Macaca fascicularis: one gene and its partners. Each later gene encodes a partner of the first gene's protein in a complex. Links are inferred from orthologs where the notes say so. Each region holds a gene or a part of one and is shown in the gene's direction. Other genes may lie near its edges.

Region 1 (3,720 bases):
ATTTAAGAAATTGCATCGCATAGCTGCTTTTTGTGTATTGATGAGCTTTCAGAGATGTCTGTTATTTATTAGATATTTTTCAGCTTTGTCAAGAGGAGATCCACTTCCTGTAAAGGACAGAATGGAAATGCCCACGGCAACCCAGAAAACAGACACAGGCCTGACTCCAGGACTCCTGAAAATTTTGCACAAGCAGGTATGGGGGGTTCTGTGGCCTCAGGCAACTGGCCTGTGCTTTCCTTACCATTCACTGTGCATTGATGACAGAGCGAGGCCCACCCCGGCGATGTATTTCAAACCTCCCAAGGTCCCTGAAGTCCTGCTTTTCCTGCCACGCATCGTCAAGGTTGATTCAAGGAAGAAATATGTTGTGTTTGGGAGGTCTTTTTCTAGCTTCAATAGCCCCAAGTAACTATCCAGGGGTAGATTTTACAAAAGTGAAATATAATTTCTTTTAAATACAAAATGTACATGACACTAGATTCTGCTGGGCGAAAAATACAAAATTCCAGAACCTGGGGGGTTTCCAGTCTGTTCTCCAGGTGTGCATTTGTGAAAGCTGTGTGCGGGCCTGAGTAAGCCTCTGCCTTCTCTGTCTGAAGGCGGGGCTGGACTTTGGCGCCCAAGGTGGGCAGCAGCCTCTGGTGTCCAGTTCTGTGGAGAGCCTGGGCCCCCTTCCTGCCTTGCACTTCTTCGCCCCACATGCCATCCTGTTTTTAGAGACATGAGTTACTAGAAAGTGGGTAATGGAGCAAGGCTAGGCATTCCTCATGACTCGGTTCTTTTGCTAACAGAGACACCAGTGGCATAACCTTGATTTTCAAACTGACTTACCCCGTTCTACATTGTGAAGTGCTGTACTTCTGCATAGGGTACAGTGAATTCTGAAACTAGGACTTTTCCATGGCTACCTTAAGGGAAATGAAGAACTCTTGAATGGTGTAGCTTGGGAAAAGACATGTTGAAATTGCTCAAAGCCTTTTCATCCAAGATACTGCTAGCAGATTGCAGAAGTTACCAGTTTTGATAGATTGTTTAAAATAGTAGAAGGAAGGCCGGGCATGGTGGCTCATGCCTTTAATCCCAGTACTTTGGGAGGCTGAGGCAGGCGGGTCACTTGAGGTCAGGAGTTGAAGACCAGCCTGGCCAACAAGGTGAAACTTTGTCTCCAATAAAAATACAAAACTTAACAGGGTGTGGTGCTGTGCACCTGTAATCCCAGCTACTTGGGAGGCTGAGGCGGGAGAATTATTTAACCCTAGGAGGTGGAGGTTGCAGTGAGCCAAGATCATGCCACTGCACTCCAGCCTCGGCAACAGAGTGAGACTATCTCAAAAATAAATAAATAAATAAATATATAGTGGAAGGAATACATTTATTTTCAGTTTTAAGATTTCTCCTAACTGTTAATGTGTTTAGGGGCTGGATTTTTAAAATGTTTTTTACTGAGGTTTATTTTTTATTGTGAAGCATTTCAGACAGTACTCAATATCAGTATGCCTGTTTCATTAAGTCAGAACATGATGCTGTATTCGCTTCACCGTCCTTTTTTCATTTAAGAAATAAAAGGTTGCCGCTTACTGGCTTCCCTGCCTCCCCTCCCCAGGGCTGACAGAACCCACTGTCATGCATTTGGAGTTCATCTGTCCCCTGCGTGGGGTGGGTTACTCGGTGTATGTTGAATTTTCACAGCATTCTAGTGTTTCCCAGGTTTTAAAACGTACGTAAATTGTCATACTGTGTTTTCTAAACAGTGTCACCACAAGCAGTATGTGGAATTAACAGATCTGGAGCAGAAGTGGAAGAACTTGTGCCTGCCGAAGGAAAAATTCAAAGCGCTCTTACAACTGGATCCTTGTGAAAACAGAATCAAGTGGATAAACTTTTTAGCACTTGGGTGCAGCATGCTTGGTGGGGTATGTACCTATAAACGCATGTCAGTCATTCTGTGTCAGCATGGTCCCAGCTTAAAAATCCTTTCGGTTTCCGTAACTAAAGGAAACACTTTAGTAACTTTGTCTTAGAAAAGCATTTCACCCTGCTCCAGGCCTATTATATTAATATTTTTGGGCTTATAGTTATTTTAATTTACAGAAATTACTTATGAATGCCTCAATTTAAAGGTTAACAGTAGATGAAAGATATGGATACTATTAAACTATATTTAGGTTTTAGAAGAAAATGCATCAATGACTTTTTAAAACTACAAATCATTTTGTAAACTGATAACTGTTTTCCTCATCTGTGGAAAGAGGCATATAATTATTTTCTACTTTAGTAGAAATCTATTATTATTATTATTATTATTTTGAGGTGGAGTTTTGCTCTTGTTGCCCAGGCTGGAGTGCAATGGCGCAATCTCAGCTTACCACAACCTCCGCCTCCCAGGTTCAAGCAATTCCCCTGCCTCAGCCTCCCGAATAGCTGGGAGTACAGACGCATGCCACCATGCCTGGCTAATTTTGTATTTTCAGTAGAGACGGGGTTTCTCCATGTTGGTCAGGCTGGTCTCGAACTCCCGACCTCAGGTGATCTGCCCACCTCGGCCTCCCAAAGTGTTAGGATTACAGGTATGAGCCACCACGGCGGCCTTAGAAGTCTATTATTAATAACTAATAGATACAGTGCAACTTTGCTGATGTTCGAGTATAAGCCAAGCGACTTAGGAGTAAGACATATCCTCCAGGTGACGAGGCGAGCCTGGGAGGTCGGGGCGAGAAGGGAGCTGGGATGATGTTGGCAGGACTTCCTTTGCAAACCCAGAGTCAGTCTTCTCAGCTAAAGTCTTGCTGTGAGACATGTTGGTTGGGTGAAGGAAGAGTAACCGGGCATCAGCCATGTGGCTTACGAAGAAAGGAGGCAGAGCAAGGAGAACCAGCTCCTTTGACTACATAGATTAACAATTTGATTTTACCCACTCCCTTCAGTCTGTGGCGCAGCGTGTATAACTGGACGCCCATGTGCTTGCTTCACAGCCCTCACTCAGCTTTGGTCCATGCCCAGAGCTCTTTCATTCCATTTTCATTAAAACCAATTCCTTGAAATGGGTGGTGGTAAACACCCGCAAACCTACCCAACGTGGTCGCTAACGCACCCACTTCCAACCACCCGTGTCCTCCTCCCGCATCCTGTCCCCCTGCCTGGTGGCCTGAAGCAACGACGTTTCTGAAGCTCCTGCTTCTCGCTCCCTGGCCTGTGAAACGCACACTTCTGTGTGTCCCCCAAGAGGTACATTGCGGAATTGTAGTTGGTTTTGACTTGATGAAAAGACAATTGTGTTGTTAGTAATTTTCTGAAATTTTCATTCTAAATTATATGACTAGATGTATTCATCTGTATATCACAGACCGTGTTGTTCTTTCCCTTCCTCTGCCATGTCACATCTGAGTGCAGCACAGCTCACCAGCTCGGCGGATGGCCCCAGTGGGAAGCTCCGTGCGCTCAGGGAGGCGGGTGTGGTGCGGCTGTAGAATGAGCAAGAGTTTTGTTGTGTAACTGCTCAAAGGCAATGGAGGTGCTTCCTGTCAGCCCTGGGCTACTTGTGCCAAGGCCTGGATGTTGGCAGGCCCGGTACCCTCCAGTAGCAAGGACAGGTGCAGATGGCACCAGGGGAGTGTCTCAGGGGTATTATCAAGATAGACAAAGGCAAATACATTTAATTATTGGAGACATTTTTATGTCACTTTGTTAATCTGGAACTCTGTGAAATCTGTCTATCTA
Region 2 (4,434 bases), on another chromosome or scaffold:
CAATGAATCACATACCATCTTACCTGGTTACCTGATTGTTTCATTTACATTAGATTCCACAACAAGATTGGTAACATCCCCCTTTCCCCAGGCAGGAATTGTGTCATCTTAACCTCCCTGAGCCTCAGTATCCTCTTCTTTCAAATGTCTGTCTTACAGGACTGTTGCAGAGATTAAATACCAGTTGTAAAGACGTTTGACATAATGTCTCGCACAAACTCTTCAGAAATATTTATTGCATCTCAACATCTTTTTCAACTTCTTCAACACGTCAGACAGGCCTGAGTGCCTGGGTTTTTGGCTATGCCAGTTCCTGTTGATTACTGATATAACAACGTTGGATCAGGAGTATTTCAGTGGGCAGATGTTGAATTTTCTGCCTTCCACCCACTAAAAGGTTTGCATCAAACCAGTCCAGGATAACTCATACTGGATCCCTGCCAGTTGATATAGTTAAGCTGATCTACAGATAAGAAAGAGTCTTGGGTACGTTTAGCTAGTAAATGCAGATCTGCCAAGACTCCAACCCAGTTCTTAAGATACCTGTGTCTGGGCTCCTTCCGCTCTACCAAGCCACCTTTCAAAGGTCTACCTGAAAATAACTAATGAGCAGAAACTACAGGGGGAAGGGGAAAAGACCCCTTATCTTGGTGTTTCTTGCTTTTCCTCGCAGCCCCGCCCTTTTTGCTTCGAAGGGTGAGTTTTTCCTGAATTCACAATACTTTTGCATTGAAGATGTCGGGGGTCCCTTTAAGGTCTTGGGTGACGTAATGACTAGCCCCGCCCTCTCTCTTCTCTCTTCTCAGCCCTGGCCATTTTTTTTTTTTTTTTTGTCCTCAACCAATTAGCGGCCCGACGCCCTTTCCGCGCCTCATCCGGGTTCCCGGGACTGGGAAATTGGCCTGGTAACCAGGCAACTACTGATCAATCCCCTCCCCAGCTGATTTGCGCATCAGGTAGTCGCCGCTCTGCGCTCAACGGTGGCGAGTTTCAGTAGCCAAGTGCCCCGCCCCCGTTGCCATAACAGCAGTACACAACCCCTCCTTCCCCTCGCCCGCTTGCTAAACAGTCCTTCCCTCTCGGGACCAAGGGCCTCTCCAGAACTGCTTCTGATTTAGCAGAAACAGGGTCTGAGCCCCTTTGCTAAGGCGAATTGAGTGGGAGGACTGGAGACTGCGCTTTAGGCTGGTGTACCAGAGGGCCCAAGGAAATTGGTCCAGTGGGGAGGGAAAAGTAGAAGAAATGAATGGAGCGGGGATTAGGGATGGCGCAGTGGGAGCTAAGAGGAGAGGAGGAGGAGGAGGACTTGGTAGGGAAGAGTGGAGAGCATGGCTTAAGGGGGAGGTGGGAAGAATGGGGGAGAGGGAAGCCCAGGAAATAGGGACACTGGGCTGCTGGAGGAGAGCTGAAGCCACTGCGAAGGACAGGAAAGGCCTGGGGGTGTGGGTGACATCCTGAAGGGAGGGGGTCCTCAGTGGAAAGTGTGAAGTGGGGGTTGAGAGTCAAAATGAGATGTTCACAGGGATGAGGAAAGAAGCCTAGAGTTGGTGGGTCAGAAGTGATGCGGGTGATGGGAGTGGCACGTGTCAATGACGATGAAGGAGCTGAAGGCTGGCAGAAGCTGAGGAGACCTTCTTTCTCAGGAGGAGGACTGAGCTTATCTGACTTCAGAGCTTTCAGGAGGGAAGAAAGATGTCAGATGAAGATGATCTAGAAGACTTTGAGCCAGACCAGGATGATTTTGAGAAAGAAGAGGACGAGAAGGAGACAGAGGAGGGGGAGGACTACAGAAAAGAGGGGGAAGAGTTCCCTGAGGAAGTGAGAGCCTGGACAAAGAGGGGTCCTAGGGCTGAGGGGCGGGGTTGGGCAGGGGAGGGACGCCTTATTCCACTTCCACCTGCAGTGGCTGCCCACGCCCCTCACGGAGGACATGATGAAGGAAGGGCTTTCTCTGCTCTGTAAGACAGGCAGTGGGCTGGCTCATGCTTATGTCAAGCTGGAGGTTAAAGAGAGGTGCGTTGTGGGGGGACCAGATGAGGACTGTGAGATTGTAGGGCCCCTGTCTCCTTTCCCACTGTCATTCCTGGGTGTTCTGGCTGAGAGTTTGACCCTTCTCATGCCTAGTGGAAAGGGAAGGACAAAATTTACTTTTCAGGAGCGCTGAGACTTCTATCAAAGCTGACCTGGGGAATTGGAGACTGAGAGTATATGGGGGGATTCCTGCTGGATTCCCTCATTTGTCTTTCAGAGTATGGGTTCTCTGTCCTTCACAGACACAGGTCTTTCTGCCCACTGTTAAGAACCCACCTACCTTCTCTTACCCTTCTTCTCGCCTACCATCTGTTGCCCATTCTTCTCCTCATTATAAGCCTTCTGCTTTAGCAACTCTGCCAGTCCTCGCTGGGTTCTTAACCCTAAACCTGGTTCCTTCTCCCTCTTCCATCTCCTAGGGACCTGACAGACATCTACTTGCTGCGCTCCTACATCCATCTGCGCTATGTGGATGTTTCTGAGAATCACCTGACAGACCTGTCGCCACTCAACTACCTCACCCACCTGCTCTGGCTCAAGGCTGATGGCAACCGGCTGCGAAGTGCCCAGCTGAATGAACTGCCCTACCTGCAGATTGCTAGTTTTGCTTATAACCAGATTACTGACACTGAAGGCATCTCTCATCCTCGTCTTGAAACCCTGAATCTCAAAGGTGGGTCTTTTTTTTTTTTTTTTGAGACGGAGTCTCGCTCTGTCGCCCAGGCTGGAGTGCGGTGGCCGGATCTCGGCTCACTGCAAGCTCCGCCTCCCGGGTTCACACCATTCTCCTGCTTCAGCCTCCCGAGTAGCTGGGACTACAGGCGCCTGCCACCTCGTCCGGCTAGTTTTTTTGTATTTTTTAGTAGAGACAGGGTTTCACCGTGTTAGCCAGGATGGTCTCAATCTCCTGACCTCGTGATCCGCCCATCTCGGCCTCCCAAAGTGCTGGGATTACAGGCTTGAGCCACTGCGCCCGGCCAAGGTGGGTCTTAGGATGGGCTACACAAGATTCTTTCCTTCCTAGCCTGAGGCCAACAGAAGTGGGCAGTATGGTCCTTGGCTATGGCACATGGCAGTCTGCATTCATTCATTCAGATACGCAATGTGATTCATTATGACAGTTCTACATGTTAACCATATAGGAGCGAATAAGACAAGAAATGTCCCTATTCTCATATAGCTTATATTTCTAGTTGGGAGAGACGTACAAGTAAAACAAACACAATACGTAAATTCATGTAGCATGTTAAAAGGAGACAAGTGCCTTGGAAGAAATAGATCAGAGTAAGAGGAATGGGGGACATAGGTGGCAATGTTAAATGGATTGGTTAGGACAACCATCACTGAGAAGATGACATTTGAGCAAAGAGTTGAAGAAGGAGAGGGAATTAGACATGTCAGCTGCTTCGTTCACTCTTCAAAGGCTTAGGTGGATATGTCCATCAGGACCTTGGACTACCACACCACTTGCCCCAGGGCTCTGGAGGTATTAAGTCTGGAGCTGTCCTTCCTCACTACTACCCTGCTTTGTGAATGTCCAGGATAGGGTGATTTAGAGGCTTCCCAAATTCAGGCTCTAATGCTGAACATTTGGAGTGGCCCTTTGAGCTCTTGAAACCCTCCTCCCCAGGAAACAGAATCCACATGGTGACAGGTCTGGACCCCCAGAAGCTGATCAGCCTGCACACAGTGGAGCTTCGGGGGAATCAGCTGGGAAGCACGGTGGGGATCAATCTTCCTAAGCTGAAGAACCTCTACCTGGTAACTCACTGGGTCATAGGGTGGTGCAGGGAAGAGGGCACTGTCCTGGGGGTCAGGATGCCTGTTTTCTAGTAGGCTCAGCTACTAACTTCTTCATTATGATAGTAACTGGTATTATCAAGCCCATAGTTGGTTCCAGATACTGTGGAGATACAGAGCCACCTAGCAGGGCTGATAATATATAATATGTGGATAATACAGAGATAATTTACTTTGATACAGGTAGCAGCAAAATGGACCATAATTGAGGTACAAACATCAGGCTGTGGAAATGTTTTAGGAAAACTCTCCTCTCAGATTGGGTTTTTCTTCAGCTCTTGCCCTAGCCACCACAGCAATAATCAACCTAAGACTTCCGGGGCCCAGGATGTGGGGTTTCTCCCCATACACCAAGTAGTAGATACCAGCTGGGTGATCTCTAATTCGATTCCGACACTATCTACCTGGGGATAGCATCAGATCCCACAGATTGAGGGCTCAGTTCCCAAGAGTGACCCCCACACCGTCCGCAGACACCAGTTGCAAGTCCAAACCTCCGGAACTTCTGACACATCAGCTTCAACATGAAGCTGGTTCCCATGACCTCTTCTTTGGATTTAATTAATTTTCTGGAGTGACTTTTTATCAGTTTATTGCAAGGGC
Region 3 (2,455 bases), on another chromosome or scaffold:
GAGAAGGAAGGGGACCAGGTAAGGGTGGAAGAAGCTGACTCAGGTCAGTCACTGGACTCAGGCGGTGGGAAGACTGAGGAGGAAGGGAAGGGAAAAGAGGCAATACTTTTTCCTGACCCTGTGAGCCTTGGTCTGTAGACAGCCCAGTCTGCAGAGTGGGTGAGACGGGATCCCTAATGTTCCTTCCAAGGAACAGAGCCTTATAATGCTTCTGTGAATGGGCAGCCCAGGGACTGTCCCCATTTTACAGAGTGGGAAACGGGGACCCAGAGAAGAATGGGACTTGCCTAAGGCAAGAACATGAGAGCTGAAAGGAGATCCCAGTCTGAACTCCAGTGTTTTCCTGATTTTCTCCAGTGCTTCTCGGAATAAAGCCCAACTACAGGAGCTACTCAGAAATCATTTAATCATAATAATTTTATTTATTTATTTTATTTTATTTTATTTTGAGACGAGAGTCTCACTTTGTTGCCCAGGCTGGAGGGAGGTGGCACAATTTCAGCTCATTGCAACCCCCACCTCCTGGATTCAAGCGATTCTCCTGCCCCAGCCTCCTGAGTAGCTGTGACTACAGGCACGTGCCACCACGCACAGCTAATTTTTTTTTTTTTTAATTGAGACAGAGTCTCACTCTGTTACCCAGGCTGGAAGGCAGTGGCGCAGTCTTGGCTCACTGCAAACTCCGCCTCCTGGGTTCAAGTTATTCTGCTGCCTCAGCCTCCCCAGTAGCTGGGATCACAGGCATGCACCACCACACCCAGCTAATTTTTGTATTTTTAGTAGAGACAGGGTTTCACCATGTTGGCCAGGCTGGTCTCGAACTCCTGACCTCAGGTGATCCACCTGTCTTGGCCTCCCAAAGTGCTTGGGATTACAGGCGTGAGCCACTGCACCTGGCCACCTAGCTAATTTTTGTATTTTTATAGAGATAGGATTTCTCCATGTTGGCCAGACTGACCTCGAACTCCTGACCTCAGGTGATCTGCCTGCCTCGACCTCCCACAGTGCCTGGGATTACAGATGTGAGCCACCATGCCTGGCCTATTAGTAATACTTTTAAATTAAATACTATTTAAATAAAAACATAAAATTATTGTCCAAGGCATGCTGAGTCCTTAAGTCCTGAGAAGAGGCAGAATGATGGAGCATTCAGAGCCAGGAAAGATACATTCCTTTGCCTGCACTTTTTACCCCCTTTCTCACCTATGAAACATCTACCTCCGGTCTGGCTTGGTGGCTTACACCTACAGCCCCAGCACTTTGGGATGCCAAGGCAAGAGAATCACTTGAGCTCAGAAGTTTGAGACCAGCCTGGGCAACATAGTGAGACCTTGTCTCTACTAAAAACAAAAAAGTTAGCTGGGCATGGCAGTGTGTGCCTGTGGTCCCAGATACTCAGGAGACTGAGGCCGGAGGATCTCTTGAGCCCAGGAGGTAGGTCAAGGCTGTGGTGAGCTATGATCATGCCACTGCACTTCAGCCTGGGCAACAGAGAGAGACCCTGTCTAAAAAAAAACAAAAAACAAACAAACAAACAAACAATAAATAAAACATCTACTTTGAAGAAACATGCTTCAAAACCCAGCTCGTGTTTCCTGCTCTGGGCAGCCTTCTCTGAGCTCCAGGATCTGGGCCTCCCTTTATCATGTCTCGAGCTTGCTGAGGATTCACCGTCAGTTCCTCTCCCTCCCGGCCACGAGACTGGGAGCTCCTTGGGGTGAGGGACCAGTCTGATTCCTCTGTCCCCAATGCCCAGAAGAGACCTCAGCAGACTTGTGGTGACTTAATGACAGGGGTGTCATGCCTGGAGTTACTAGCAAGACAGAGACATATGGTCGGTTGCCTGACGCCCAGCTCAGTGTTCTACCTGCCGTCTGAGGAAACCTCTCCGAGCCTCCAGCTGAGTGGTCTATTTTGGGCATGCTCAGTACAGAAGTAATTCTGGGGGGATTCATCTGGGTAAGCTTCTCAGGCTTCTAATCTATCTGGGCTATGGGGGCCAAACTGAAAAGGCCCTTCCAGAAAACCTGCTCTCATCTCCCCATTGTACAGATGAAGACATGGAGACAAGTAGAGGCAGGAACTTGGCCAAAGTCACACGGCCAACTAGTCCTTGTCACCCTTTGGCGTCCCCTGCCCAGGGCCCCAACATCATCCCAGCAGACATCATTTTCATCGTAAAGGAGAAGCTACACCCTCGCTTCCGCAGGGAGAATGACAACCTCTTCTTCGTGAACCCCATCCCTCTGGGCAAGGTGAGTGGGCAAAGCGCAGGAGCAGCGGGGAGGGGATCGGCATGAGCCCCACCTGCCCTGGCCTAGACTTGGCCTCCCCTCCCGCAACCACCTGCCATCAGTCGCTAAGCCCTGTGGATTCCACCCTCCAAATCACCATCCACTTGGTCCCCTCTGCTCATCCTCACCGCCTGGATCTGTGCACCAGATCTGCACAGCAG
Region 4 (4,442 bases), on another chromosome or scaffold:
TTTAGTAGAGACAGGGTTTCTTCATGTTGGCCAGGCTGCTCTCCAATTCCTGACCTCAGGTGATCCACCCACCTCGGCCTCCCAAAGTGCTAGGATTACAGGCGTGAGCCACCGCGCCTGGCCAAGGAGATGCCTTTTAAGGCCCACTCAGACCAATTTAGGGTACACTCACCAATTGGGGGAGAGGCTATTTTTCGGTGTTTCCCAGAACTCGCCTGACGGTCTGCTTACATTGTTCCTGGCCTGCACTCAATAGGCAAAATAAGAATAGGGGTTGTCTTTGTTTGCTGTATACCGCCCATGCTTGGCACACTAGGAGCTCAGTAAATATTTCTTGATTTATTCATTGAGAGCTCTGACGCCTGTGCTCATGCTTCCCTTTGATTTTTCCTTGCCCACTCTGGCACTTACTATCTCAACTAACATCTACTAAGGCCTCTCTTGCCCGGCACTGCCCCGCCCATAAGCTGAAAGAGAACACGGGAAAGGCTAGTACATGCACAGACGACTAGGCCGAGGAGGACTGCAAGGGCTTGGGCCTGGTGGAGACCGGACGGCTTCCTGGAGGTAAGGCACCCGAGTTGGTTCTGAAAGGAACCAAGCAGAGGTCACCAGCAAGAGCAAAGGTGCGGAGTTGTGAAACTGCCAGGCTATTAGCAGCTTGCAGTGACGGTCTTCCAACGACTCTAGGTCTTCCGCCCTTCTCCGATTGGCTGCCCTTCCTGGTTCCTCCTCAAAGCGCGCCACCCCCTCATCTCTCCCAGAGCATGCCTGCCTGCCAGCCAGGGTCCCTTGCTCTTTTCGGTCCCCCCACTCCTCCAGGTTTCTGTGCAGCAAGTCTCCTCAGCTCACCCACCTGCGCGCCGCCACATATGCCTTTCCTCGACCCTTCGTGCGCACACCCCGCTCCAGCGTGCCCGCTCCTCTCTGCTTGGCGCCCCGCTCCTACGCGCCCCCTCCTTCCCGGCCCCCGCCCCTTGGAGCGCGCCCGCTTCTCTCTGCCGCGCTCCCCTTCTCGCATTCCCTCTCCGCCACCTCGTGCGCGCTCTCCCTCCTGCACACCACCTCCTCTCTGCCGCACGCCCGCCCCCTGAACGCCCGCTCCTCTCTGGCCCCCTCCCCTTGCGCGCGCCCCCTTCTGCACGACCCCTTCTCTATGTCGCGCGCCCCGCTCCTGCACGCCTCCTCCTCTCTACCGTGTCCGCTCCACTCTGCCGCGCCCCCTCTACTCTGCCGCGCGCTCCTACCCCTGCACGCCCCCTCCATTCGGCCGCGGCCCCTCTACTCAGCGGTGCGCTACTGCTCCTGCACGCCCCCTCCTCCCTGCAGCGCGACCCCCCACGGCCCCCCCTTTCTGCTGCGCGTTCCCCCTCCACCGCCCACTGCGCGCCCTCTGCTCACCTACACGGGCTCCTGAGGCGCGCGCTCTCGTTGCCTGGCAACGGGACGCGGCTCCCGGGTGGCTAGCGTGCGCGTGTGTCGGGTGTGCGCACCGGGAAGGCCCGAACTGTTTTTGAGATTAGTTCCTCTAGCTTCGCTGGGTCCGGCGGGCAGAGGCGGTTCTGACCGTTGGGCCTTGGGCGTCGAGCAGGACTCACCTGAGGCGGAAGGAGGCCGCTTCGCGCCTGGGGCTCCCGAGAGCAGCCGGCTCTCCTTCTCCTGCTCGTCCTGAGCAGGGAGCGCTGCGTCTCTGTCTCCTGCGGGCTGCGGGAGACTCTTCCAGACTCCCGGGTGGGAAAACCACATCGAGCGCCCCGGGAGGTTGCCAGATGCAATACTGTACTGCATGCGCAGGTAACTGAATTTCAGATAAACGAGTTACTTTTCAGTACAAATATAGTATCACGCAAAGTTATTCGTTGTTTATCTGAAATTCAGAGTCACCTGGGCGAGCTGGGTTTTTAGTTGAGAAGTCTGGCACCCCTGCCCGGGTGCCCCTGCCCAGTCGGCTGGCTGTCTCCCAGGTGTGGGTAAGGAACCTCCTTCCATCTCTGTGGCACCTTCTTCAGGCTGTAGGCAGCTGTTTCTGTGGGAAACGGCTTTCTTATGTTGAGCCAAGATGCCTATTGGTGTATATGAAAAATAACATTGGTTACCACAGGAGAGATGGGTATTATCCTCGTTTCACGGACAGGAATATGCTAAGGGAGTTGGCAGGCCTTGCCTGGGTCCCACTGATATGCCCAGAAATCCGAGACAGAGCCTCCCCTGACTTGGCCCCACTGGTAGGCCAGAAGTTTTCTCTTTGGGGATAATGGCCCCCTTCCTACCTTCCCACATTTTATCTTTCTGGAGCAGTAATAGGAGTCTGTTCCCTTTTTTTTTTTTTTTTTACTTCAAATGACTTTGACATGTCTTTGTAGCGTTTTGGTCTTTCAGATACATCCTACTGAAGAAATACAGTGAAGATACTGTGTTCCAAAGTCATTTGTAATAATTCTTTTCTCTGTGTGGTTAAGACACCAATATCAACCTGATTTGGAATTAGGTTCATTAGTGCCAGTTTGCTTTCAGTTTTTAGAGTTTTTATGACTATGTTTATATATACACATATTCCTTTCCTCACTGCTGTTGCTAATGCAAAAGATGACGGATCATATACAATTTCAGCACCTTGTTTTCTTTATTTTGTGTCTTAGAGATCACTCTTTAGTTTCTTCATTCTCTTGTACATCTGCATAATAATCCATTGTGTTGCTCTTATTAATCCCCAATTTGATGAACATTTAGATGGTGCTTCAGTGTGACTATTGTAAATAATGCTGCAAATACCTGTGTGCATATGCCATTTCATATTTTTGCAACTATATCTTTGAGATAGGATCCAAGAAGCAAGATTGATGAGTCAAAGGGTGAATGCATATGTGATTTTCTAGATGTTGTCAAATTCTCCTCCATAGGAGTTACACCATTTTGCCTTCCCACCACTGTCATATGGCATATGCGCATGGTTATGCATAAAATTTCAGAGACACTGAATTTTTCCATAGAATAAAAATTGGGGGTTATGGACGGACCCCCAGATGTCAGTGTCTCTGAACTTTTATGCAAAATGCTAGGTGCATTTGTCCAGGGACAGGTTTAGACACAGTGGCATTCTATCCCCTATAATTGCCATGCTCATTCTTATATCAGGGCCTTTCCTCATACCTAGAAGACTCTTCCTTCTCTTCTTTGTCATGTTAATTTTACTGTTTTTTTTTTTTTTTCTTTTTGGGTAAATGTGAGCTTAGCTCAAATGTCACCCCCAGAGAAGCTTTTTTTTTTTTTTTTACTTTCCTGACTTGATCAGCTCCTCCTCTCCTCTGGTCTCATAGTACTTATTTTAACTTCAATTTCATATTTATTGATTTAAATATTTATCTTCCCTTCTCATCTGTAAGCTCCATGAAGGCAGAGACTGTTTTTGTTTTAGTTTGGGCTGCTATAGCAAATTACCAACACTGGGTGGCTTAAAAACAGTACACATTTATTTCTCATCATTCTGGAGGCTGGAAAGTCCAAAATCAAGGCATTGGCATTTCTGGTGTCTGGTGAGGACCCTCTGCCTGGTGTGCAGGTGGCTGTCTTCTAGTTTTATTCTCAGATGGCAGAGAGTGAGAGCAAGCTCTCCCGTCTCTTTTTATAAGGGCATTAATCCCATGCATGAGGGCTCCACACTAATGATCTAATCACTTCCCAAAGGCTCCTAATACCATCACATTGGGAGTTAGGATTTCAACATACAGATTTTTGGGGACACAGACATTCAAGCCACAATAGTTTTGTATTCCCAGTACCTATCATGGTGCCTGACCTACAACAGGTATTTTTGTTTGTTTGTTTGTTTGAGATGAAGTTTCACTCTTGTTGCCCAGGCTGGAGTGCAATGGCACAATCTCAGCTCACTGCAACCTCTGCCTCCCGGGTTCAAGTGATTCTTCTGCCTCAGCCTTCCTGGTAGCTGGGATTACAGGCATGTGCCACCATACCTGGATAATTTTGTATTTTTAGTAGAGACAGCATTCACCACTATGGCCAGGCTGGTCTCGAACTCCTGACCTCAGGCGATCCTCCAACCTCAGCCTCCCAAAGTGCTAGGATTACAGGTGTGAGCCATTGCACCCAGCAAATATTCATTATACATTTGTTGAACAATTGATTACATTTCATCAGACTATCAGGAGAGTCTGAATTTCTTAAAATATTAAGGGTAATCTGAGGGTGATCAATTTTTCCAAAGCACCTGAAAGAGATTGGTTGCTGCGTTTTTCCTTTTCTGTTTTAAAAACAATCTGGTCTATGATTATTCCTGTTTATCTTCATAACTGGAAGGAGTAGGACATAACTGGGAGAGTGGAGAAATTCATTCCCTTGCCACCATGGAGAAACAGCTGTGTCAGCCCTGTGATTAAAACACTCTTCAAGCAGCTAGAGGAGTTTGTCTTCTAGTGGGAAGACAG
Region 5 (3,720 bases), about 130 Mb from region 1:
ATTTTGGAAAGGGCTTTAAGAGGTGGGTCACTTGGTAAAATTCACACTTACTCTCAGGAAAATCTAAGACATTTTAGAAAGACAGATTTCTGCCATAATCATGGGGATTTTTAGCCTTCCCTCAGTGACATACCTCCATGTCTCATCATCCTTACTCCAGGCAGAGGTTCTTTGATTTCTACTTTGAATCCCTCTGTTATATTTTGAGCATTTTCCCTCCTGACCCACCTTTAGTGGAATTGAAAAAACAGTAGTAATACATTTTTTTTTCTTTTGAGACCAAGTCTCACTGTGTTGCCCAGGCTGGAGTGCAATGGCATGATTTCGGTTCACTGCAACCTCTGCCTCCTGGGTTCAAGCAAGTTTCGTGCCTCAGCCTTCCGATTAGCTGAGACTACAGGTGTGCACCACCAATTTTTGTGTTTTTTGTAGAGATAGGGTTTCGCCATGTTGCCCAGACTGGTGTTGAACTCCTGGGCTCAAGCAATCTGCCTGCCTTGGTCTCCCAGATTGCTGAGATTAGAGGCATGAGCCACTGAGCCCGGCTGGCAATAATAAATAATTTTTAAAAACCTTCAAGGCTGGGCGCAGTGGCTCACGCCTTGAAAAAAAAAATGGCACTCAAAATAGCTGCTTCTAGAGAAAGCATGATACTTTCAAATTAGACTCAGCAACCATGATTTTTTTTTTTTTTTTTTTTTTTTTTTTAGACAGAGTCTCATTCTGTTACCCAGGCTGGCATGCAATGGCGCTATCTCGATCTTGGCTCACCACAACTTCTGCCTCCTGGGTTCAAGCAATTCTCATGCTTCAGCCTTCTGAGTAGCTGGGATTATAGACATGCACCACCACGCCTGGCTAATTTTTGTTTTTGTTTTTGTTTTTTTTTTTTGACGGAGTTTCACTCTTGTTGCCCAGGCTGGAGTGAGGTGGCATGATCTCGGCTCACTGCAACCTCTGCCTCTCGGGTTCCAGTGATTCTCCTGCCTCAGCCTCCCAAGCAGCTGGGATTACAGGTGCCCGCCACCACGCCTGGTTAATTTTTTGTATTTTTTGTATTTTTTTTTTTTTTTTTTAGTAGACACGGGATTTCATCGTGTTGGCCAGGCTGGTCTTGAACTCCCGACCTCAGGTGATCCACCCGCCTCTGCCTCCCAAAGTGCTGGGATTACAGGCGTGAGCCACTGCGTCTGGCCTAATTTTTGTATTTTTAGTAGAGACAGGTTTTCACCATGTTGGCTAGGCTGGTCTCGAACTCCTGACCTCAGGTGATCCACCTGTCTCTTCTTTCTCAAAGTGCTGGGATTACAGGAATGAGCCACCACACCGGCCTGATTTTTCTTTTTTCTTTTTTTTAGGCGGAGTCTCGCTGTGTCACCCAGGCTGGAGTAGAGAGGTGCAATCTTGGCTCACTGCAACCTCTGCCTCCCGGGTTCGAGCTGTTGGCCTGCCTCAGCCTCCCGAGTAGCTAGAACTACAGGCATGTACCACCATGCCCGGCTGATTTTTATTTTTATTTTTTTTTGAGGCAGAGTTTCGCTCTTGTTGCCCAAGCTGGAGTGCAATGACGTGATCTTGGCTCACTACAACCTCCGCCTCCCAGGTTCAAGCTGTTCTCCTGCCTCAGCCTCCCGAGTAGCTGGGATCACAGGCGTGTGCCACCACACCTGGTTAATTTTTTGTATTTTCAGTAGAGATGGCATTTCACCATGTTGGCCAAACTAGTCTCCAACTCCTCACCTCAGGTGATCCACTCACCTCGACTTCCCAAAGTGCTGGGATTACAGGCGTGAGCTACTGCGCCCGGCCTAATTTTTGTATTTTTATTAGAGATGGGGTTTCACTATGTTGGTCAGACTGTTCTTGAACTCCTGACCTCAAGTGATCTGCCTGTCTTGGCCTCCCAGAGTGTTGGGATTACAAGCCTGAGCCACCTCGCCTGGCCTAATTTTTCTTCATGTTACAGTGAATCAAGATATTTATGACAGAACCAGAATAAAGAACACACATGTTCAAATGAAAAACTTTTTTACTGCATCATTATACTACATATTACTTTTTTTGTTAGTTTATTTGATACAGGGTCTGCTTTATCGCCCAGGCTGGAGTGCAATTATGTTATCATGGCTCACTACCTCTAATGTAGTGGGGATTACAGGCACACACCACCATACCCGACTAATTTTAAAATTTTTCATAGAAACAATGTCTCCCTGTGTTGCTTAGGCTGCTCTCTAACTCCTGGCTGGGCTGAAGCGATCCTTCCGCCTTGGCCTCCCAAAATGCTGGGATTACAGGCATGAGCCACTATGCCTAGCTGTTATTTCTAAGTATGAGAAATAACTCATAATTTCTCATACTTAATGAGACCAGCTCCCAAAATAGTAACACAAATAGAGAAACATGAATTTGAAATATTAAGTCCAGTTTTATTAATTGAAGAGTTATTTACTTTAAGAAGGAGATGTGATAAATTTGTTACTAACAAACCATATGCTGAGGGAGGCTGCCTAACTGGAATAATTTTTCTTTGTCGCCCGGACTGGAGTGTAGTGGTGCAGTCTTGGCTCACTGCAACCTCCACCTCCCGGGTTCAGGCAATTCTGCCTCAGCCTTCTGAGTAGCTGGGACTACAGGCACATGCCACCACGCCCAGCCAATTTTTTGAATTTTAGTAGATACAGGATTTCACCATGTTGCCCAGGCTGGTCTCGAACTCCTGAGCTCAGACAATCCGCTGGCCTCGGCCTCCCAAAGTGCTAGGACTACAGGCATGAGCCTCTGCACCTGGCCATAATTTTTCTTAAGTAGGTGAAGTAATTCCTCTTACTATCTTATTTACAACATACATTTAATTATATCCTTTTCTTTCTTCATAATACAAAGATAAACCTCGAAGTTATAATCAGATTGGTACTAGTTTCAAGTTAGTAATGATTTTAATGAGCTATCATTGAACTGTCATTTTAAATGCTTTTGTTGACTTTGTGTCTTTTATAGAGAAGAAAACTACACCTCAGCCCTGAGCAATGTAGTAACTTTTATGTGGAACAGTATGGAAAAATGTTTTTCCCCAATTTAACAGCTTACATGAGTTCTGGACCACTTGTCGCCATGATATTAGCTAGACATAAAGCCATCTCTTATTGGTTAGAACTTTTGGGACCAAATAATAGCTTAGTAGCGAAGGAGACACATCCAGACAGGTAATTTTCAGGGTTGGGGGGATGGCAGGGAATGGAATCCATCTGTGAAAATGAAAAAAAAAAACAAACAAAACTAATTTCATTGTAATGGGAATTTTTGTTTTATTATTTGGAAGTTTTCCAAAATCAGCTTTTTTTTTTTTGGGAGGGGGCGGGGCCTGGGGGTCCATTTTACATTTTAAAGTGTTAAATGCCTATCTTAATACTACATGCCAGAAAAAGCATCAGAGAATGTCTGATTTATAGTTGATTACCCTTATTCTCTCAACCTTTAAACTGCCACTGAAGTAGGATTTTTAGATGGAAAAATTGGGATGGTATGTTAAAATAATAATGGTAATACAGGAACAGAAATTCAAATTTTCAGCATTATTGCTAATGTATGGAAATAAGATATTGAGTTCTTGCACTTTTGAATGTGCATTGCTTTTTTACTTCTTACAAAACAACACCACGTTTTTATCCAGAGAACTCCTGTTTTCCCAGTGTATTCCTCCTGCAGACGTGAATATAT

What was found.
Region 2: ROPN1L (region 1) and LRRC23 share a complex: the UniProt entries of both Homo sapiens proteins name them as parts of the axonemal radial spoke complex. The link is inferred for Macaca fascicularis from reciprocal best matches to the Homo sapiens genes ROPN1L and LRRC23.
Region 3: ROPN1L (region 1) and DNAJB13 share a complex: the UniProt entries of both Homo sapiens proteins name them as parts of the axonemal radial spoke complex. The link is inferred for Macaca fascicularis from reciprocal best matches to the Homo sapiens genes ROPN1L and DNAJB13.
Region 4: ROPN1L (region 1) and DYDC1 share a complex: the UniProt entries of both Homo sapiens proteins name them as parts of the axonemal radial spoke complex. The link is inferred for Macaca fascicularis from reciprocal best matches to the Homo sapiens genes ROPN1L and DYDC1.
Region 5: ROPN1L (region 1) and NME5 share a complex: the UniProt entries of both Homo sapiens proteins name them as parts of the axonemal radial spoke complex. The link is inferred for Macaca fascicularis from reciprocal best matches to the Homo sapiens genes ROPN1L and NME5.

The regions. Positions count from the first base shown.
Region 1 is NC_088380.1:10,821,010-10,824,729, forward strand, and holds part of ROPN1L (ropporin-1-like protein), read left to right. Parts: intron 1-72; coding exon 73-196; intron 197-1,754; coding exon 1,755-1,916; intron 1,917-3,720. UniProt on the Homo sapiens protein: Functions as part of axonemal radial spoke complexes that play an important part in the motility of sperm and cilia. Important for male fertility.
Region 2 is NC_088385.1:7,840,573-7,845,006, forward strand, and holds the start of LRRC23 (leucine-rich repeat-containing protein 23), read left to right. Parts: upstream 1-1,549; 5' UTR 1,550-1,692; coding exon 1,693-1,818; intron 1,819-1,903; coding exon 1,904-2,013; intron 2,014-2,450; coding exon 2,451-2,704; intron 2,705-3,661; coding exon 3,662-3,792; intron 3,793-4,434. UniProt on the Homo sapiens protein: Essential for sperm motility and male fertility. Plays an important role in the proper assembly of the third radial spoke (RS3) head and the bridge structure between RS2 and RS3 in the sperm flagella.
Region 3 is NC_088388.1:72,831,615-72,834,069, forward strand, and holds part of DNAJB13 (dnaJ homolog subfamily B member 13), read left to right. Parts: coding exon 1-18; intron 19-357; coding exon of another isoform or gene 358-372; exon of another isoform or gene 373-787; intron 788-1,608; exon of another isoform or gene 1,609-1,959; intron 1,960-2,052; exon of another isoform or gene 2,053-2,141; coding exon 2,142-2,255; intron 2,256-2,455. UniProt on the Homo sapiens protein: Functions as part of axonemal radial spoke complexes that play an important part in the motility of sperm and cilia.
Region 4 is NC_088383.1:66,450,231-66,454,672, forward strand, and holds the start of DYDC1 (DPY30 domain-containing protein 1), read left to right. Parts: upstream 1-1,457; 5' UTR 1,458-1,794; intron 1,795-4,442. UniProt on the Homo sapiens protein: Functions as part of axonemal radial spoke complexes that play an important part in the motility of sperm and cilia. Plays a crucial role during acrosome biogenesis.
Region 5 is NC_088380.1:144,617,798-144,621,517, reverse strand, and holds part of NME5 (nucleoside diphosphate kinase homolog 5), read left to right. Parts: intron 1-3,000; coding exon 3,001-3,206; intron 3,207-3,720. UniProt on the Homo sapiens protein: Functions as part of axonemal radial spoke complexes that play an important part in the motility of sperm and cilia. Does not seem to have nucleoside diphosphate kinase (NDPK) activity.